4 linked regions of the Schizosaccharomyces pombe genome follow. The protein of the gene in region 4 interacts with the protein of the main gene of each other region in a pairwise test. Each region holds a gene or a part of one and is shown on either strand. Other genes may lie near its edges. The genes, in order: spg4, mss51, pwp1 and pil1.

Region 1 (5,296 bases), on a different chromosome or scaffold from region 4:
CACACTCCTTTCCCAAGTAGCGAAATCTATCGTGTTTTACCCGTTAGAAACGAAATCCTTGAAGGTGTACTCAACTGTGATCTCGTTGGCTTCCATACCTACGACTATGCCCGTCACTTTTTGTCTGCATGCTCTCGTATCCTTAATCTTAGCACACTACCTAACGGTGTGGAATACAATGGTCAAATGGTCAGCGTCGGCACCTTCCCCATCGGTATTGATCCCGAAAAGTTCTCTGATGCTCTGAAGTCTGACGTGGTAAAGGATCGCATTGCAAGCATCGAACGTAGACTACAAGGCGTTAAGGTGATTGTGGGTGTCGATCGTTTGGACTACATTAAGGGTGTTCCCCAAAAATTCCATGCCTTTGAAGTGTTCTTAGAACAATACCCTGAATGGGTTGGAAAGGTCGTGTTGGTTCAAGTTGCCGTTCCTTCTCGTCAAGATGTCGAAGAGTATCAGAATCTTAGAGCCGTTGTCAATGAGCTTGTTGGCCGTATTAACGGTCGTTTTGGTACTGTTGAATATACACCTATTCATTTCTTACATAAAAGTGTTCGCTTTGAAGAGCTGGTTGCTCTGTATAACGTTTCAGACGTTTGTTTAATTACCTCAACTCGTGATGGTATGAATCTTGTTTCATACGAGTACATTTGCACTCAACAAGAGAGACATGGTGCCCTAATTCTTAGTGAATTTGCCGGTGCTGCCCAGTCACTCAATGGTAGTATTGTAATTAATCCATGGAACACGGAGGAATTAGCAAACTCCATTCATGATGCCCTCACTATGCCGGAGAAACAACGTGAGGCTAATGAGAATAAATTATTCCGATATGTTAATAAGTATACCAGTCAATTCTGGGGTCAAAGCTTTGTCGGTGAGTTGCAACGCATTCAACACTACAGCCACCCTCACCCCAGAAGAACGAATCCGATTTTACGAACCAAGTCTGCTCAAGTGCTGTCGATGAATTCTAGCTCGTAAGAGTGCATTAGCAACACTATTGGTTTGTTTTCCCATTAATCAAGTTGTTGCACTTTTACACTTTTACTTCTATAATTTCATTCTCAAAGCAATTAAATCATTTGGTCATATATATTCGATGAGTTAGCAGTTTACGATACAAAGGATGTTGTTTATACTGGCACTTTTTTTATTGAGATGAATTCACAATACATGATATAATGCAACGTTCTTTAATGATTTTTTTATATGCAGAAATTCCAATCAGCTTATGGTGGTTTGAGTATTTGCTGATGATGGAAATTTGTTAGACAAGTATTCGACAATTTTTTTATGAAGTGTTGTTCTTTGTAATTTCCTTTGGTTTTATATTGAACATGATGGCAAAAAGAATAAATGTTTTGTTATTTAACCTTAAAAATCCTGTAACATTCAATTAATATTATTTTTATACATTTTTTTTGGGATACACGTGGAAGATTGTGACTAATATATCTTATAAGTAAGGATGAGAATATGCTGGACTGGTGAACGGAGTTGGACCAAGCAAATATTAAGATTAATAGTGAAATGGTTTTAAAGGTATTATTTATTGTAAGTAAACTAATTTTCAATTCTCATATAGCAAAAAGAGTTTTTTTGTGTAAATGATGAAGATGCGTCATTTACCCATCATTATTCTTCGCTACACCAAAACCAACCGTAAAGATTTAAAACTCAACAAGCACAGTGCGTATATCATAGAACTTCTATTCACGCATATAATTAGTGCTGTTGCTAGTTTTGTATTTATTTTTGTAGACTTTATCAAGTTTTCCGACAAAATCGTGGTTTTAGTGAGAAATTTTATCTTTAACTTTGTATCACTATATCTACGATTTGTATTTGCATGCCGCATTCTGCTTGTACGAAAACAATATTTAATAAGGTAATAGGATATAAAAGGAGAAGTGTAGTTTGTGCACTTCAGCCAATATAGAAAGAGAATAACGTTTCCAATCGAGCCGATTTAACCTCTTTCCATTGAAAGGTAATTGTTTTTAATCAGTTGTAGACGTTAAAGAATGCACAAAAATGAGCCTTGAAGACTGCTATAACGTCACACAGTCATATGCCGCCGTTGCAATTCATAAAGAGCAGACTGCTGACTATGTGGAGGCTATCGCTTTATTTCAAAAGGCCAAGCGGAACATTCTCATGAATCCAGAGTTTAAGTATGCGAGGGAACGCTTACACGTGATGGATTATGAAGATAGACATTATGTGGAAACATTACTCTGCATGTTGGAGCAGTTGACCATTCGAATTGAGTTCCTTACCAAAGAGATTGCGCAACAAGAAGCTGCTTATAAGGATATTCAAAATACACAAAAGTCACTTGTAACACAATCTTCTACTGGTAGCGCTAATGTTGCTTATATAAGTGGAAATGGTCCTGGCGATCGCTCATTTATCGATGATGGTAACTATAGTGCGTCTTCTTTTGAGCGTCAAAATAGAACAGCTCCTTTACAATCTAAAGTGACAACGGCATCCTTAAAACCTAATATTCCGCGAACATCTATGTCCTCTTCACCTACAGCTTCGCGGACTTCGTTGCGTAAAGGCGCTGGTGAACTAGAAACACATAGCGCTGTTAAATCTGCTAAAAAGGCCAGTGTCAAGAGTAAATCAGTGCTTCCTCCAAGTAAATCGCTTGCTAGGACTGGACTTCCAGCTGAAGTCTCTACCCAGAACAATGCCAATCGAGCAGCTCTATTGGCTTGGGGATCTTTGAATTCATCTAAGCCTAAGCATGCTCTCCCGCCATCATACATATCATCGGAAGCAGCGCAGGCATCTCGATCATCGTTTCAGGTTGAGCGTCATCGTCCAACTCCCGATAACTCCGCCGTTATTGAAGCTGCCCGCCGAACTTACTCTTCTATTTCCTCCTCTTCCTCACCCTTCAAAAAGAAAACGCAATCCCATCTCCCTAATCGTACCACTGAAGTACCTTCTATATCAAAACAGTTATCAAAGTCATCTACCTCAATCGCAACCGTCGCGCCATCTCTCGCTTCTGTTTCGTCAGTTACAAAATCGCCATCTCCCACTCCTCAGTCAGCTCCACGAGCTCAATCTGCTTCCACTGAAACTGCGCAAGATCTGGATTTCCTTACACCGCCACGTTTATCTGTGAACAACCCTTTTCTGAGTGATCTCTATCCAGCTTCCGAACAGGGGCTTTCTTCCTGTGAAGAGAAAGATTCGCCGGTTGATGGCGATGAATTTTTCAACCACACAAACGAAGAAGAGATTATTGAAAAGCAGTTTCAATCCACATCTATCTCTGCAATGACTTCTGAAAAGCAAGAACAAATTCTGCGTGAATGTCCAGACATCGACGAAGAGCTTGGTAAGAGTATACTTCGAGAAATCGTGGTTTCGGGTGATGAAGTTCATTGGGATGATATTTCTGGGTTAGAATTTGCTAAGCACTCTTTAAAAGAGGCAGTGGTGTATCCGTTCTTGCGTCCAGATTTGTTCCAAGGCTTGCGGGAACCAGCTAGGGGGATGCTTCTTTTTGGGCCTCCAGGAACTGGTAAGACAATGCTTGCGCGAGCTGTTGCTACTGAATCCCGTTCTGTCTTTTTTTCTATTTCAGCTTCTAGTTTAACATCCAAGTTTTTGGGTGAATCCGAAAAACTTGTTCGTGCTCTCTTCACTTTAGCAAAAAAGCTGTCTCCAAGCATCATTTTTGTTGACGAAATTGATTCACTGCTTTCTGCTAGAAGCAGTGATGGAAATGAGCATGAAACATCGAGAAGAATAAAAACAGAATTCTTAATTCAGTGGTCTTCGCTTGCAAGAGCAGCTGCATCTCGACAAACCGCCGATCACCCAAGAGTTCTAGTGCTTGCCGCTACCAATTTGCCTTGGTGTATCGACGATGCTGCTCGTAGACGATTTGTCCGTCGTACCTACATTCCCCTCCCTGATGAGACCACTCGTCGCTTACATTTAAATAACCTTTTAAAATATCAGAAGCATTCTCTTTCCTTAGAGGATATTGAGGCTATTGTGAAAGCAACCGAATATTACTCTGGCTCTGATTTGACAGCATTGGCAAAAGACGCAGCTATGGGGCCTTTGCGAAGTTTAGGTGAGTCTTTGCTATTCACGAAAATGGAGTCGATTAGGCCGATTAATTTAGATGACTTTAAAACTAGTATCAAGGTAATCCGGCCTAGTGTGAACTTGCAAGGGCTGGAACGATATTCAGAATGGGACAAAGAGTTCGGATCCCAAGGGCATTGAGTCTGTCTTCTTATTTAAAATTCCTAGCCTGATACCGATTTTTTTGGTAATCACGTTGAAAATTTATTTATTGTCTTTTAATACATGGCTTGTGCAAACTTATGATTATAACTAATAAGGACAACTTTTGCCTCAAGGAATTATTCATGATGATAATAATGGTGCTGTACCAAAAGCCTTTTTGTTTACTCCTAATATATTCGTTTGTCTCTTTTTTGTTGATACAATTTATGCACAGTCTTTGAATTTTTCAAACACTTAATATTAACTGAGGTTATCTCTAACCCTAGTTATTGTTTGAGTTTCCATTTTTATTACGACTCATTTACAAACAACTAAAACTCCTTACTATGATTAATTAGTCAGTACATGTCAATATTTATAATTTAAATGTTTACAGTTTTTTTATTCTATTGTTCTTTTAGCGAATCTAAGAGTTTACAGTATATCACTTACGAAATTATATTGCAGTTACACTATAGAAGTCAAGTTGTTGGGATGCTTTAATTATGTGAAGATGCACACTCAGCTTATGCTCTTGCGATGCCTAAACCTATAGAATGGGTATGATAACTATTGATTGATTTAGCTGATCAAATAGAATGAATTTGATTCAGGAATGGGTAGTAAGTTGGATGTGTCAAGTTCCTTGAATTCATCGTCTTCCAATATGGATCGTGACAGATCGGAGTCTCCGAAGCGACATGTCAACGGAAGCAATTCATTGAAACGTGGCTTGCATTTTGATGGAGAGCACACTGAAAGAGACCCTCACTTGGGAAATGGCCAAAAGTACACTCAACAAGAGCGTCGCGTGTATGTTGGTAATTTGTCATATCAAGTTCGTTGGTTTGAGTTGAAAGAGTTTATGGGACAAGTTGGCAATGTTCTTAATTGTGAGATTTTGAATCTTCCGAATGGATTATCGAAGGTAAGTTTGCTTCATAGAGGGTGGGTTTCATGCGACTAGTAAATCATTGTCTATTTAAATTGTAACGTTGAATCGATCCAATTGAACGTTACTTTTAAA
Region 2 (4,070 bases), on a different chromosome or scaffold from region 4:
TTGGGTCGTTACGAACATGGATTTATGAGTATGATTCCTGTAGGTGCAACCAATGTGGGTAGCATTGTCATTAATTGTGATCCTACTTTATCTACCAATCGCCTCGTCTTACGGAAGAAGTCATTAGGTACGTTTCAAGAAGCAGTTTACAAGAACGCTTCTCCTGTTTTAGACGGTATGCCAGTTAGTCGTGGCGAACAAGTTGGTGGGTTTCAACTCGGAAGTACCGTTGTTTTGGTATTCGAAGCACCTGCCGACTTTGAGTTTTCCACTTATCAAGGCCAATATGTTCGTGTTGGAGAGGCCCTCTAAACAGGATAAATCGGGATAATTTTTATTAATCGCTGGATTATCCCTGATATAAGTTATTGTTAGTATGAGAATGTGTGTATTCTAAATAATCATTTGTATGTGATGAATTAATTAAATTAACCCATTTGCTTTTGATCTTCTTTTTATTTAAATTGATATTGCGTTTATAAACCCATAATTATAGTTACTATTTACTTAATTACATTCCAATTTAAAGAATTGACACCCAATAAATTTATTTTATTGATACACCTTTAAAGTAGTAATGAAAATGTTTAAAAATAAGTATGGTTAGCTTGTTTTGACATAAGGTGGCATGTCTTCTTTTCAAAATTCGTAATTGATAATCATTACATATATACTAATATTTTGTTTATTCACAATCCAAAATTTGGACCTTAAAATTCATTAATAGATTGCTTTTAGATTAGAATATGAAATTGGAAGATGGTAGACGACTTAACGGACAAGAATTACTCTTTGGAAACATTTTGGACATTATAATAAAGGGCTCTGAATCCAAATACTTCTTGATTTGCGTGATAAACTTCATGAAGGTTTGAATCATCAACAGACCAGCCTAAGCTGGCAAATTTATTAACAGTTGGCAATAACAAGGGCTCAATTGAATCTTTCAAAACATTATTAAGAACTTCCAAATCTTTGGTTGTTCTTTGAGATGAAGGACTTGTGAGCCATACAGAGCAACGAGTCGATACCAAATCGTGAAGTGTCGGAATCCACGATGAAGAATAAAGTGGATGACTTATAAGAGGCATCGGAAGAAAAAAAGTATCATAGTAGGGGTCAAAAGGCTCAAAGGCTCCAACTCTATGCAAATTGTGGTAGTAATCCTGATGAAAATGAAGGCTGAGTGGGGAAGGCAAATTGGGTTGCTTAGAAGGAACAACAACTTCAGGTCCGATAAAATGCAATTGAAATAAACGACCTGGGAACAAAAAGTTCAATCCTTGTAACCAAATTGATGGTGGTAATGAACATTCTTTGGTAGCACCCAAAACGAAAATTCTAGTGGGTCTGGGATCAGTAGATTGAGCAGACAAAGGACGATGAAGCATATATCGTAGAGCAGTTAATGATTGTAGACCCTGGGGAGTTAACCCATTTTTTAAATTATAAGGAGAATTCTTGTGAAGGATAGCGCCGATTGACATGGGATATGTTAATAAACTAGTAATATGTCTAGCAGTTCTAGACGATTGGAACTTTGGGAAATCGCGGGTATAGAAGAATGAATCCCATGACAGAAGAGAAACTACTTCATCTTCTTCCATGGGTCCAGGAAGTTTGAGTAGTTCCGGCAAAGGGTTTGGTCGTGCTAAGTCATGATAGTCTTCATTAATTTGGCGTAGTTTTGGGATAAGGGATTGGTGAATCTTGTCCTGTTCCCAATGAGTTCTATTACAATGAGTAGGAAATCCAGATTCAGGACACTCATATTCCACTGACTTTCCCGAAATTGGACACCGATAGACTTGTTTGATATGCTCAGAGCGACGGCGAAGAGCCGTTAAGGGAGAACGCGATAAAGGATGGAATAATTCATGAGTTGGGGATTTCTTCTTGAAGAGATTTTTTAAAAACGACATAAGTAAAAAAAATATAAGCGAAACGTCACTCTTGAACCAAAAAACAACCTTCTACCGGTTTCAATGTAACTATAGGTAATGAAATAAATTTTTATGTCGGTGTTGCAGCTAAATTTAACAAGTATTGATTTAGGTGAACGTGTTTAGTAGCAGACGAAGAAACTAAAATTAAAAATGTCAAGGAACATAAAAAATACGTTAACAAGGCAAACTATTGAAATGCTTAGTAAAAAAAATTAACAAATTAGTTCGTAGAAGCAATTGCTTTGTTCATTAGCAACCGACATTCAGTAGCGAATTTTATTCTTTAAAAAAATATTAAGTATTGAGTTGACTCAACAAAGAGGTGATTTTCAATAATGTTGATATTAAAGAACTATCTAGTAAATCAATTGCATAACGGGAAATGCACTTTCTTTATTGGAAGTCTACAATGCAACTATAAGGAATACGAATCATCTCGAAAGTAGCTGTGTTAATCTAAGCTTCTATAATTTTCATTGCTCGTAATGTAAAGTGAACTCAATATTTTAGTAACAGTTCCAGCTGGCCCAACAAGACTGCAAACTGACCATACAGAATCCCAAAGCTGTTGTACTAATGAGCAACTAAAAATATATCTGATAAATTCTCAATGTTACATAGATGATTTATAACTTTACTGCGAAAATGTCTGCCTCTTATGACAAGCAAGTCATTAATTATCAGAGCCTTGCGAACCTATTCGTCTGCCACCTGACCTCGTCAAAGGCAGTAATTAAATTGGCAATATAATTCAGGCAAGATTTTTCAATTTTCTAAAATCCTTCGAATGCCCGCCTCCAAATATGCTGGATGGTCTCGAGACCAGCTAATATCCAGAATTTTAGAATTGGACGGGAAATTGCAAAAAAATACAAATTCACTTCCCAATAAAGAAATTGAGGGGAAAAATGAAGTAATTAAAAATAAAAACAAATTGGATAATGGAAATGAAATAGAACCCCAGCATCTGAGCCAAGAACTAGTTTTGCAACATGCGCTTCAGGACGCAAGTAGTCTTCCAAAACTGAAACCTGTCAGACCGTTTCAACTAGAAAAAACAGTTTTTGTTGCTTTTAAATTTGCCTATTGTGGTTGGAATTACAATGGTCTTGCCTACCAGTTAGAACCGACTCCTTTGCCCACTGTTGAAGGAAAGGTGTTTGAAGCGCTGTTGAGAGCTCATCTCATCACTGATCCTTCATCATGTTCCTTTAGTCGATGTGGACGTACTGATAAGGGAGTTTCAGCCATGGGTCAGGTTATATCATTAAATGTACGACATTCAGAAAGAAGACCTATCATATATTGTGATGTATTGAATCGCCTGTTGCCCGCAGATATACGTATTACTGGCTATGCATTTCCACCAGAAGGCTTTGATGCTCGATTTTCCTGTAAACAGCGTCATTATAAATACTTGTTTACTAAGGATTATCCCGGTGGTTCTCTTGACATTGATCGAATGAATGAAGCCGCAGCACTTTATCTAGGTGAGCATGACTTTCGAAATTTTTGCAAAATAGATGCTTCTAAACAAATTACAAATTATCACCGTCGAATTCTCAGTTCAAAGGTTATTTGCATTGATCCCAGTACCGGTCTTTACGCTTTTGACCTACAAGGAACTGCATTTTTATGGCATCAGGTACGATGTATGATGGCCATTCTATTTTTAATTGGTCAAAAGCTTGAGCCGGCCTCTCTCATCAATGATCTTTTGGATATTAAAAAGGTCCCTACTAAGCCAATTTATGATATGGCAAGTGAGTATCCTTTGATTTTGTACGACTGTGACTTTGATAATATTGAATGGACACTACCTACGGATAGTCCTACGACTGCTCCTCGTATCGCTAAACATACATATGAAACCATATATCATCAGTGGCATAGTCTACGTATTCGAGAGCAGATAGCTTCGTTTATGCTTGACATAGCAGATCATAATGTAAAAAGATATGGCAAATCGGAAGAGTCAAGCAGTACTATGAACGTTGGTGAAGGATTGCTGAAGCGAACAAAAAAGTACATCCCAATTCTTTCTAGACAACGTCAGGAATCAGTGGAGGTCGTCAATGAAAGATATAAACGTAAAAAAGGTTTAAAAGACAGTGACGTGAAGAG
Region 3 (4,363 bases), on a different chromosome or scaffold from region 4:
CTAATCCAGCTACCTGAGACCCATCATTCCCAGGAAGTTTATCTTTAGAAATCCCCAAATTTGTCTCTAAACCAATTATAGATTTGCATAAATCGTAAATAAGGACGCTGTCATTATCGGAAAATCGTCCAAATGTATGTAATGCATTAGAAAACTCGGTGCTGGACGAGCTACCCTTGGCAATTGTCAAAACTCGACTGGCAAGCGATGTAGCTGCATCTTTACTGGACATATAATCAGTTAATTTATCTATTAACTTCGTAAATAGCAAATCATTTTGATTATGTGAAAGCATACCTACTAAATCAATAAGGTTGCTGGCGGAAGGCGAACTTACTCAGACCCTCCGGCCCCCCAAAGGTGCAAAATCATGAACCTGAGTAATTGACAATTAACAATTTATCAGTACTTCAATGTTTAAATAAAAATTGTCATATGAATTAAAAGAATTGTTAGGCAAAATTTACCAAGTAACGGTAAACCCAATATACACTTAATGCATACATTTGCTACTCCACTAATGTGGATGAATTTACTAAAGTTTAAAGACCATCATACACCAAATCAAATGAAATTTATTGTAACTAACCTGATCCCTTTTTTCCAAATATTGAATTATGCAAAAAATCCTCTATACAATTAGTGAGCCCTTTAAACCCATGAAGCGGCCTCTTAGGAGAGTTTTTGAAAACATGAAGCTATAATCTTAAAATAAATCAAGAGAATTAGGACATCTCAGCATCTTGATCATCATCGTCTTCTATATCTTCATAGTCATCATCATCAGAAGAGTCCTCCCCGGCACCTCTGTCTTCTAACTGAACGATGCGCTCTTTTTTAGTAACTTCCTCAGTAACTCTACTTTCAAACGCTTTTCGAACACCAGGATTAGTTGCAGTGTCCCAGACACGAACGACTCCTTTGCTTCCGGAGGCAGCTAGATGGAAAGCAGTTGATTCGTCCGTAGTAAAGGAGCAAGTAAACACACGTCCAACATCCAAATCTCTAGAAACAACCATCTTCGGTGAACTATCGGAAGTGTTCCAGAGTTTAACCACTCTATCAGTGGAGCCTGTGGCTACAAAAGAAGGAACCGAAGGATTAACACTGAGACAAGAAATAGGTCCATCATGGGCTTGCAATTGCCAAACGGACTTTGAGAGATTTCTAGCATCGCAATAATAAACTATGCCATTATCAGTGCCAATGAAAAAGTTGTTTTCGCTATGTTGATCCCAGGCAACATTTTCAACATCGCTAGTAACTTGAAAACTCGATGGAGCTTCTTCAAGGCGAAGGTCAGCTATTTTTGCAGTTTTATCATAACTACCTGACAATAATACGGATGGAGCTTTGGAATACCAATCTAAGCAAGAAACTTTGTCAGAATGATACGTGAAAGATTTGACACAATTGCATGTGCTCAAATCCCACAACTTTAGTGTGGTATCTGCAGAACCAGAAACCAAAAGATTGTGAGCATTTCGGTTCGAAGAAAGAGCAAGAACAGCATCTGTGTGATAACTATCATTTATTTTTTTAGACTTCTTCTTTTTCTTGTTGACTTGAGAGGCACCTGCACCCAACACGGCTGCAGGGTAAACTGCATCAATGATGTCTAAATCCCATATTTCAATTTCAGGATCAAACGTGCCGACAGCAACGTAATTTCCAGGAGCGTTGTCAGACGTACCCACCTTATAATCTAGCCATTCGAGACACAGAGGAAAGGTAGGGAGAAGAAAATCATGATGCACGTAAAGATTTTCCTCTGTTGGCTCATATACATACACTTCAACGTGGGACAAGTTATCTTCTGTGCGCGCAGCTAGCAAAAGGCTGTCTGTTGGTAATATTTGCATTTCCTCTCTTTCCAAATCGTCCTGTTCCTGAGGATCAATAGTGATATATGGATCTTTTTCTCCATTTTCATGGTAAGCCAATCCACGAATGTTGCTAAACATAGCAGCGGGCCCTTCTGTCTCAGCTTCCTCCTCATCGTCATCGTAAGTATCCAAATTGTATACTTTCAATTCATCATCTACCTCTTCACTTGTTTGCAACACCCCTTCTGCTCCATCTGTAGTTTCTTCACCGTTCCCATTGGCTTTATTTGAGTCTTCCATAGAAGATTGGAGATCAGCTCGAGCATCCTCGAGCTTTAACTTTGAAAGCTGATTAATTCGCTCATACTCTATCTCATCAATATCGTAACTCTTGGGAAACTCTGATGCATAACCGCGAGGAACAAAAGCCACAGACGAGACTATTGACATGTTGCACCTCTCTTAATATTTACTCCGCAAATCTTTACTTTAATGTTTAAACCAGAAAACACACCACTCTTGATCTAAACGAGATTAAAAATTTAAAGATTAAGTAAATGTCAACGTATTGATACGAGTAAATAATGGCATAAATCGTGCACCGCTACTTGGGAAAAGAAGAACTGAAAATATTCGTGTCTTACAAAAAACGTTATTTAACCGTTTAGCGTAAACCTGCGTTAAATTAGATTTCAAAACTTAAGAAAACATTTTTCTTCGACCAAAAGGCCATAACGTTCATGTAGATAAACTAAATGCGTTAACTTAATTTACGTCAACAAGTATTTTTACTCATCGTAAATTCAAGTTAATGTCAGTTACGCAATTTGGTATCTGTTTAATGATACATTGAACTACGGCGAGTATTTCTTACGAGCTACGATGTAACGGTATGCGGTATGTTAAACTAACTAACATGTAAGCTACGCAGTTTGGTATCTGATTTAAGGATACGTAGAACTGCGGTGAGTTTTCCTTGTGATCTATTATATTACAATACACAGGTTGTATAAGTAGCAACTGAGAATAGGTATTGTATTAACTGGGTTATAATGTTACCTATCACTAATATAGCTCATAACTGAACCTCGTTCCTCAGTTCAGCAGTAGCTCTATTTATATTATTCAGATAATATAGATCTTAATAGATCATCATTAAGATCAATCTCAATATCGTATCATACATGGTACGATATATAATTAGAACATGTGACATATAGTGATACGCAAGTAGTGTATCATAGCGTAGTGTAGTATTGCTGACATAACAATATTTATTTGAGAAATCTAATAGCATCGGTCACTAAATTTTTTAGTCTTTCTAATATTTGTATTTGTTCTCACTGGTGTCTAAGTAAAATTAATGGATCTTAAAATTTGTTTCCAACATATAAAATCAGTCGCACGCAACACAGTGTAAACACTTCTAACAGTACGTTGCATAAGAATACTAAGTTGAGTGAATTAAAAGGGCGGTAACAATATGAGTGTCAGAAGCATCACATTAAGATGGAGTTTGGAATTTTTGGTTTTTACTTAACTTTTAAATGATTTCAAGATTGAATAAACACAAAACAATACTTTGAATTTTATTAATTAATTTTATTGAATTTTTATATGGAGAAAAATTGCAATACTAGCTTCGTTAGAAAGTTTGTACGATAAATGCTACGGACGTATATTTGTGTATTGCCTGCTGTTTTCGTTTAATGTTGCAAAGAACACAAGTCAACTAATTTGCCGCAGCTCTAACTGCTGTAATCTATAAAGTTCGCTATACAACAAACGAACACAAGGAAACAAATAGTCACCTATAATTTTCTCTTCTTAAATTAGTCTTAATTTTTGGACTGAAACTTAAACAGTAAAACGAATAGCTTATAATATGAAAAGTTGTTTTAGAAGGGCAAAATGTTAGAAAAAGTTATCGATTACACAACAATAGGAAACTACCCTTTTACTATGATTTTGAGCAAAACCAGTAAACCAATCCATAAATCACAATATGTAGCTTTATTCATGCTTTTATCTTTTTTTTTTAACGAAAGCTTATGTTTAATAAGCTCGACTCTCGTATAGTTGATAAAAGCCGTCACGTTGTTTCGAAGCTATAAATTTGGCAAACCGCTAAACGTACGTAGTGCCATCAACGCTGAAAACAGCTATATTAGTGCATATAGATAATTTCGTAAAAATCTTTGAAGTTTTTTAAAAAGGACTGTCTATAAAAAATTTCAACTAGGTAGGTATTCAAAAATGAAAGAAACTGAAAATTCCTTGAATTCTATTGTGATGACAAAAGAAGAAGCTTAACATTTTATATAGGAAGTGCCGTCTGAGAGTTCTGCTCGGTGACCAAGCTAATTCATTCTGAGAAATCTTTGTAAACTCAAGGGGTTTTAGTATTCAATCATTTGGGCTTTCATAAGTCTATCAACAGTTTTTGCTCATTGCATACTAACAGCGTTTAGGCAAGTTTAATATGTGCTGAAAGTGAATATATTGCATCGCTCACTATGAAAAAACGGTTTGATTGG
Region 4 (4,747 bases):
ACGATCGCTTCTTGCGGCGTTTGGTTATCGTGCGCGCGCACCGTAGGGAAAGGAGGGAAGCAAGGCAGCGGCGGCAGAGCAGGAGTCTAGTACAGTAAGGCAGCGAGGAGGGAAAAGAAGATTTCCCATATGTCGGGAAGAGAGATTTGAGAGAGGGAGAGAAGTACGGACGGTCGGAGGAGCAGGAGAGAGAAGAAGAGCCATGAAAAAGGAAGTGAAAGTAGAAGGGAACTAGTAGGAAAATAGTAGGGAAATAATAGAGGTATTCTTTTGTTTATTTCGTTTAATTTTATTTTATTTCGTTTTATTTTATTTCGAGTATTCTTTTGTTTATTTATTTTCTTTCGTTTTATTTTATTTCCTTTTGTCGCTCTTTTTTCTCTCTTCTCGTCGCTACTCTAGCATTTCTAGCTATTATCAGTACATCGCCATGCCATGTGCCATGCAATGTTATGCTATGCTATGCCATGCCATGCCCGTTACACTCCCGTGTTCCATTTGGTGCTCCATTCCCGTATTGCCAAAGATAGATATTTCCGTATTCACTCGATCCTCTTCATCTTCCGAATAAACTGATAAAATTGTTGCAAGTATCTAATACTCATTCATAGTCAGCGTCGGCATTTTCTTAAACTCGTTTACAATCATTTCTTCTGAATTCATCTAATTTCTTCTGAACTCATTTCATCTTTCTTTTCTTCATTCTTACTACACTCATATCCCGTTTCACTCACAACTCACTTCTTCACAATATCACTCACTCTCTTTCGCTACTTCTTTTCTCTCTCTCACTTTTCCATTTCTTGTCACCTCGTTCCTTGTTACCTACCCTTGTTGCCTCTAACTTTTACCTTTTCTCTATTCTATTCTCTTTTGTTTTAACCTTTTTTTTTATTTTTGTTTCATCCATATTTATCCATTTATATTATCTTTCTTTCTATATTTATCTTTATCGGTCCATTTATCTTTTGTTTTTTCTCTTGTCTCTCTCTCTCTCTCTCTTACCTTTCTTTCTCTTCTCTACTCTACTCTACTCTACTTTACACTACACTATTCTATCCTAAGCTACTCCATCCTCCTCTACACTATCCTATCCTATCCCATTCTCCTCTGTCCTATCCTCCTCCGTTTTATCCCCTCTATCTCTATTCATTTCTCTACTCTATTTCCTTTTTACCCACTTTGCCTTCCTCTGCTCTATCCTTCTTCAACACACCCATCGTCACTTCTCCCTCTTCTCTCTTTACCACATCCTACCACTCCCCGGCCTATTCATTCTTTTCACTCTCTTTCTTTCTTTCACAACGACGACGCGTTTGTTTACCCCATCGGCCCTTCAACACTCGCTGCCCCCCTCCCCTCCCCCTTCAGCTCCAGTTAACGCGGTGCGCCAAACGCATTGGTCAACATCGCTATCCAGAAAGAAATTCGGTTTTATATTATCGCGAATGGGAACGTCATGTTTACGTGATAGAAGGAATGGACATATCTATGGCAACTGTGGCCAGCAAGCTGACCAAATGATGTTTACCTACTCTTGTTCACTACGGCAAGTGATGATATCATTTTCCCACCTTAGCTTTGTATATATAGACTGGCTCGCTCATTTACCGATACACCTTTATCCATACTCACGTTTTCATTGACTTTAGTCAAAACTTTCTTTTCTTTTTTATCCTTTAACTATACTATACTTTATTATAGTATCCTTTCTCATACCATAGGATATAACATACCTTGGGATATATATATATATATAATCTTTTTTTTTTTTATATATACCCCATCACATTTTTGTTATACCCAGAGAATAGCCGCTAAGCAAAAGTTAAGCTAAGCTAAGTGAATTTGAAAGAAATCCAAAAGGAAAATTTCCTCGTTTTTCCCTTTCCCCAAAAAAAAATCCCGACTCCTTTCCATTTTTTCATATAGTCGACAAATTTTTTTATTTTTGGGCTTTTTTTATACACACTCTCTCTATCTAACTATCTATCCTATTTAACTATATACCCACGAAATTTCGTATCGCCCTTTGGTAAAGTGTTAAACATTTTTCGTCCTACTCTTTTTTTTTTACTTATAACTCGTCCTCTCTCTACTAAATTATTCTCACTATAATTGTTCTTATTAGTATCATCACATACTAATATACTACTACTACTACCACTTATTTTTATTATTACTACCATCTCTTCTTATTTACCCACATCTATTTCTATTTCTGCAAGATGATGAACCGTGCGTACTCTTTAAGAAACAGCCGTGCCCCTACGGCCTCACAATTGTTAAACCCCCCTCCTCCCTCCTCTTCCACTCGTAGTGGTCGTTTGTTTGCCCCCTTGAGTCATACCATGCGTATCAACCACGCTGCCACCTTCACCCCTGACTTGGCTAAGCGTTTGGCTGTCTTGGTCAAGATGGAAAAGAACGTGATGCGCAGTATGGAGGTCACCATCCGTGGCCGTCGTGATTGTGCTCGCCAACTTTCCTACTGGGGTGAGGACTGCGATGACGATATCAGCGACGTCACCGACAAATTGGGTGTCTTGTTTTACGAGATGGCCGAGTTGGAGAACTACTTGATCGATCGTTATGACCAATACCGTATGACGTTGAAGTCCATCCGTAACATCGAGTCCTCTGTCCAACCCTCTCGTGAGAAGAAGCAAAAGCTCTTGGATCAAATCTATGCTCTTAAGCATAAGGATCCTGAATCCCCTCGCTTGGTCACCATGGAGCAAGAGCTTGTTCGTGAGGAGGCTGCCTGTTTGGTTGCCGAGGCTCAACTTTCCAACACCACCCGTGAAAAGTTCAAGCAAGCCATGACCTTCAACTTGGATGCCCTCCACGAGCATGCCGAGAAGCTCAACCTCATTGCCACCTATGGCAGACATTTGTTGAACTTGATTGACGACACCCCCGTCACTCCCGGTGAGGCTCGTCCTGCCTACGATGGTTATGAGACTTCCCGCCAAATCGTCATGGATGCTGAGCACGCCTTGAGCTCTTGGGTTCCCAGCCAACCCGCCGTCAACTTTGTCAAGCCTCAAATCGAGGATGATGCCCAAAGTGACGCTCGTTCCTGGAACGAGTATGAGGCTCAAGGTGAGCCCGTCCCCGTTGAGCAAGTCACCCACTTACAAGACGACGTTCAATCCGACACTAGCGAGATCATTGAGAACGAGCCTGGCATGCACCCTCATGTCCATGCTGAGCGTATGTCTCGCATTGCTTCTGAGTCTAGCGATGCCGTTCCTCAGCAAACCGCCGTCCAGGTTGCTTAAAAAAACTCTTTACTTTTTTTCTATTTGTCGTCGTGGAGAGGGAAATTGCAGTGTCAAGCGAAAATAAAAAAGAAATTTCTTGAAAGCTTATCGTAATCCCATTTGGGCTTTTTCGTGACTTTTTCCTTTTTGGATGGATTGATGATCCCAGAAACAATCGTTACTGACAAACGATAATGGGTTTATGATATTCTTCCTTCGTTTGTCGACTCTTTTTTACTACTCTTTTCCCCAGGTCCTTGTTTGGTCATAATTTATTTTCTTTATTAAAGAATAATTGTATGTGTCATCTGGTTCCTTTCTCTCTTTTCTTTTGTCATAGAAGGAAGAAGGAAGGTGGTGTATGATTGAATTGCTTCGACGAAATTGGCGTTTAAAAAAAAAGACAGGCTAAAGGCATTGCAAATTCCACACCTCTCGTTTTTTATAAAGAGTTATGAAAAAATGATGCGGACGGATAAAAGTTTGTTGAAGGTGTGGTGGTATCTATCTATCTATCTATCTATATTCCCTTTGTGGACGGAATAGAGAAAGATTTGTTTGATTGAATGAAAGGGGTTAAAAAAACGTCAAAAGTTTTCAATATTTGTTGGTTGTGTTTTTGTTATCCATGGAAAAAAAATTTTTTAAACTGTCTTTTTTTCTCCCCTTTTTCCTTTTATTTTATTTTATTACAATCGTGGATATATGTTGCTTTGAGAATTCAATCGACCGAGAGTTTGATTGGTTTATTTTTTTCGTCAGTGACAGGTATGAGCTGAAAGAAAACTTAATTTAATAAGCTGGCGTGCGCGAAGGAGAGCATGTTAGACGGAAACCCTAGTTTGCTCATAGCTAAGAAACTGTTCAATTTTTACATAGTTATTATAAGGCGGAGATGTCGCAATTATTTTATTATTATACCTTTTATTATAATTATTATTTTATTTGTTTTTATATGTTGCTGCTATTGCTATCGGAGGAAGAAAAAGACTCTAGACTGGCTTGGCTTGGCTGGCTGGTGGTGTGAGAGGGGGAATTTGAAGAAAGTGTGTTTTGCTTTTAGTGGGTTTAGCGTAGCTATTATTTTGTTGGTAGTATGATGGATATTTGTGCCAGCTTGGCTAGTCTTTTGCACGTGAAGGATGATGTACTTCGTTGCAAAGAGCCTTTTTTTTTCTTTTTGAGGTAGGTAGATTTGATTAATCTTGAGAATAAGAAACCATAATATGATTGAGAAAAGATGGAAGGCGAGATGGGTAAATTGCAAGGGTAGAATAGTAAAGTGTATTATGAGTTGGAAGTTAGTTAGTATGTTATTATTATTAAGAAGTAATTATTAGAATTAGCAATGCAAGTAGTAGGAATCGATGTATTAGGAGGAGCAGAATTAGGAGTAATAAGCGAATACTTTAGAAGAGGAGTCAATGTCGAAAAAAGAGAAAACAAGGTAAATTATTAACGCCTTTCCAAAATTATTGTTT

Evidence for each region.
Region 1: the proteins of pil1 (region 4) and spg4 interact in a two-hybrid assay, tested with the Schizosaccharomyces pombe proteins (one large-scale study listed by BioGRID).
Region 2: the proteins of pil1 (region 4) and mss51 interact in a two-hybrid assay, tested with the Schizosaccharomyces pombe proteins (one large-scale study listed by BioGRID).
Region 3: the proteins of pil1 (region 4) and pwp1 interact in a two-hybrid assay, tested with the Schizosaccharomyces pombe proteins (one large-scale study listed by BioGRID).

What each region holds. Positions count from the first base shown.
Region 1 is NC_003424.3:3,479,869-3,485,164, forward strand, and holds spg4 (AAA domain-containing protein), read left to right. Parts: upstream 1-1,688; 5' UTR 1,689-2,040; coding exon 2,041-4,266; 3' UTR 4,267-4,737; downstream 4,738-5,296. Other genes in the region: tps1 (alpha,alpha-trehalose-phosphate synthase (UDP-forming)), read left to right, coding at 1-987; hrb1 (RNA-binding and mRNA export factor), read left to right, coding at 4,810-4,830, 4,868-5,197.
Region 2 is NC_003424.3:4,160,067-4,164,136, forward strand, and holds mss51 (splicing suppressor Mss51), read right to left. Parts: upstream 2,087-4,070; 5' UTR 1,923-2,086; coding exon 786-1,922; 3' UTR 532-785; downstream 1-531. Other genes in the region: phosphatidylserine decarboxylase Psd2, read left to right, coding at 1-312; deg1 (tRNA-pseudouridine synthase), read left to right, coding at 2,734-4,070. UniProt on the Schizosaccharomyces pombe protein: Has a dual role in the assembly of cytochrome oxidase subunit 1 (cox1). It has a regulative function on cox1 synthesis, acting as a translational activator specific for the cox1 mRNA, and it also binds to newly synthesized cox1 protein.
Region 3 is NC_003423.3:2,162,191-2,166,553, reverse strand, and holds pwp1 (WD repeat protein), read right to left. Parts: upstream 2,437-4,363; 5' UTR 2,277-2,436; coding exon 726-2,276; 3' UTR 558-725; downstream 1-557. Other genes in the region: ATP-dependent RNA helicase Prp16, read right to left, coding at 1-295; SPOM_SPBC1711.15C (uncharacterized protein), read left to right, coding at 4,343-4,363.
Region 4 is NC_003421.2:346,944-351,690, forward strand, and holds pil1 (lipid binding protein Pil1), read left to right. Parts: upstream 1-1,615; 5' UTR 1,616-2,228; coding exon 2,229-3,284; 3' UTR 3,285-4,222; downstream 4,223-4,747. UniProt on the Schizosaccharomyces pombe protein: Negative regulator of cell wall integrity (CWI) in unstressed cells, probably by inhibiting protein kinase ksg1/ppk21 activity and regulating their downstream CWI pathways pck2-MAP kinase pathway and protein kinase gad8 pathway.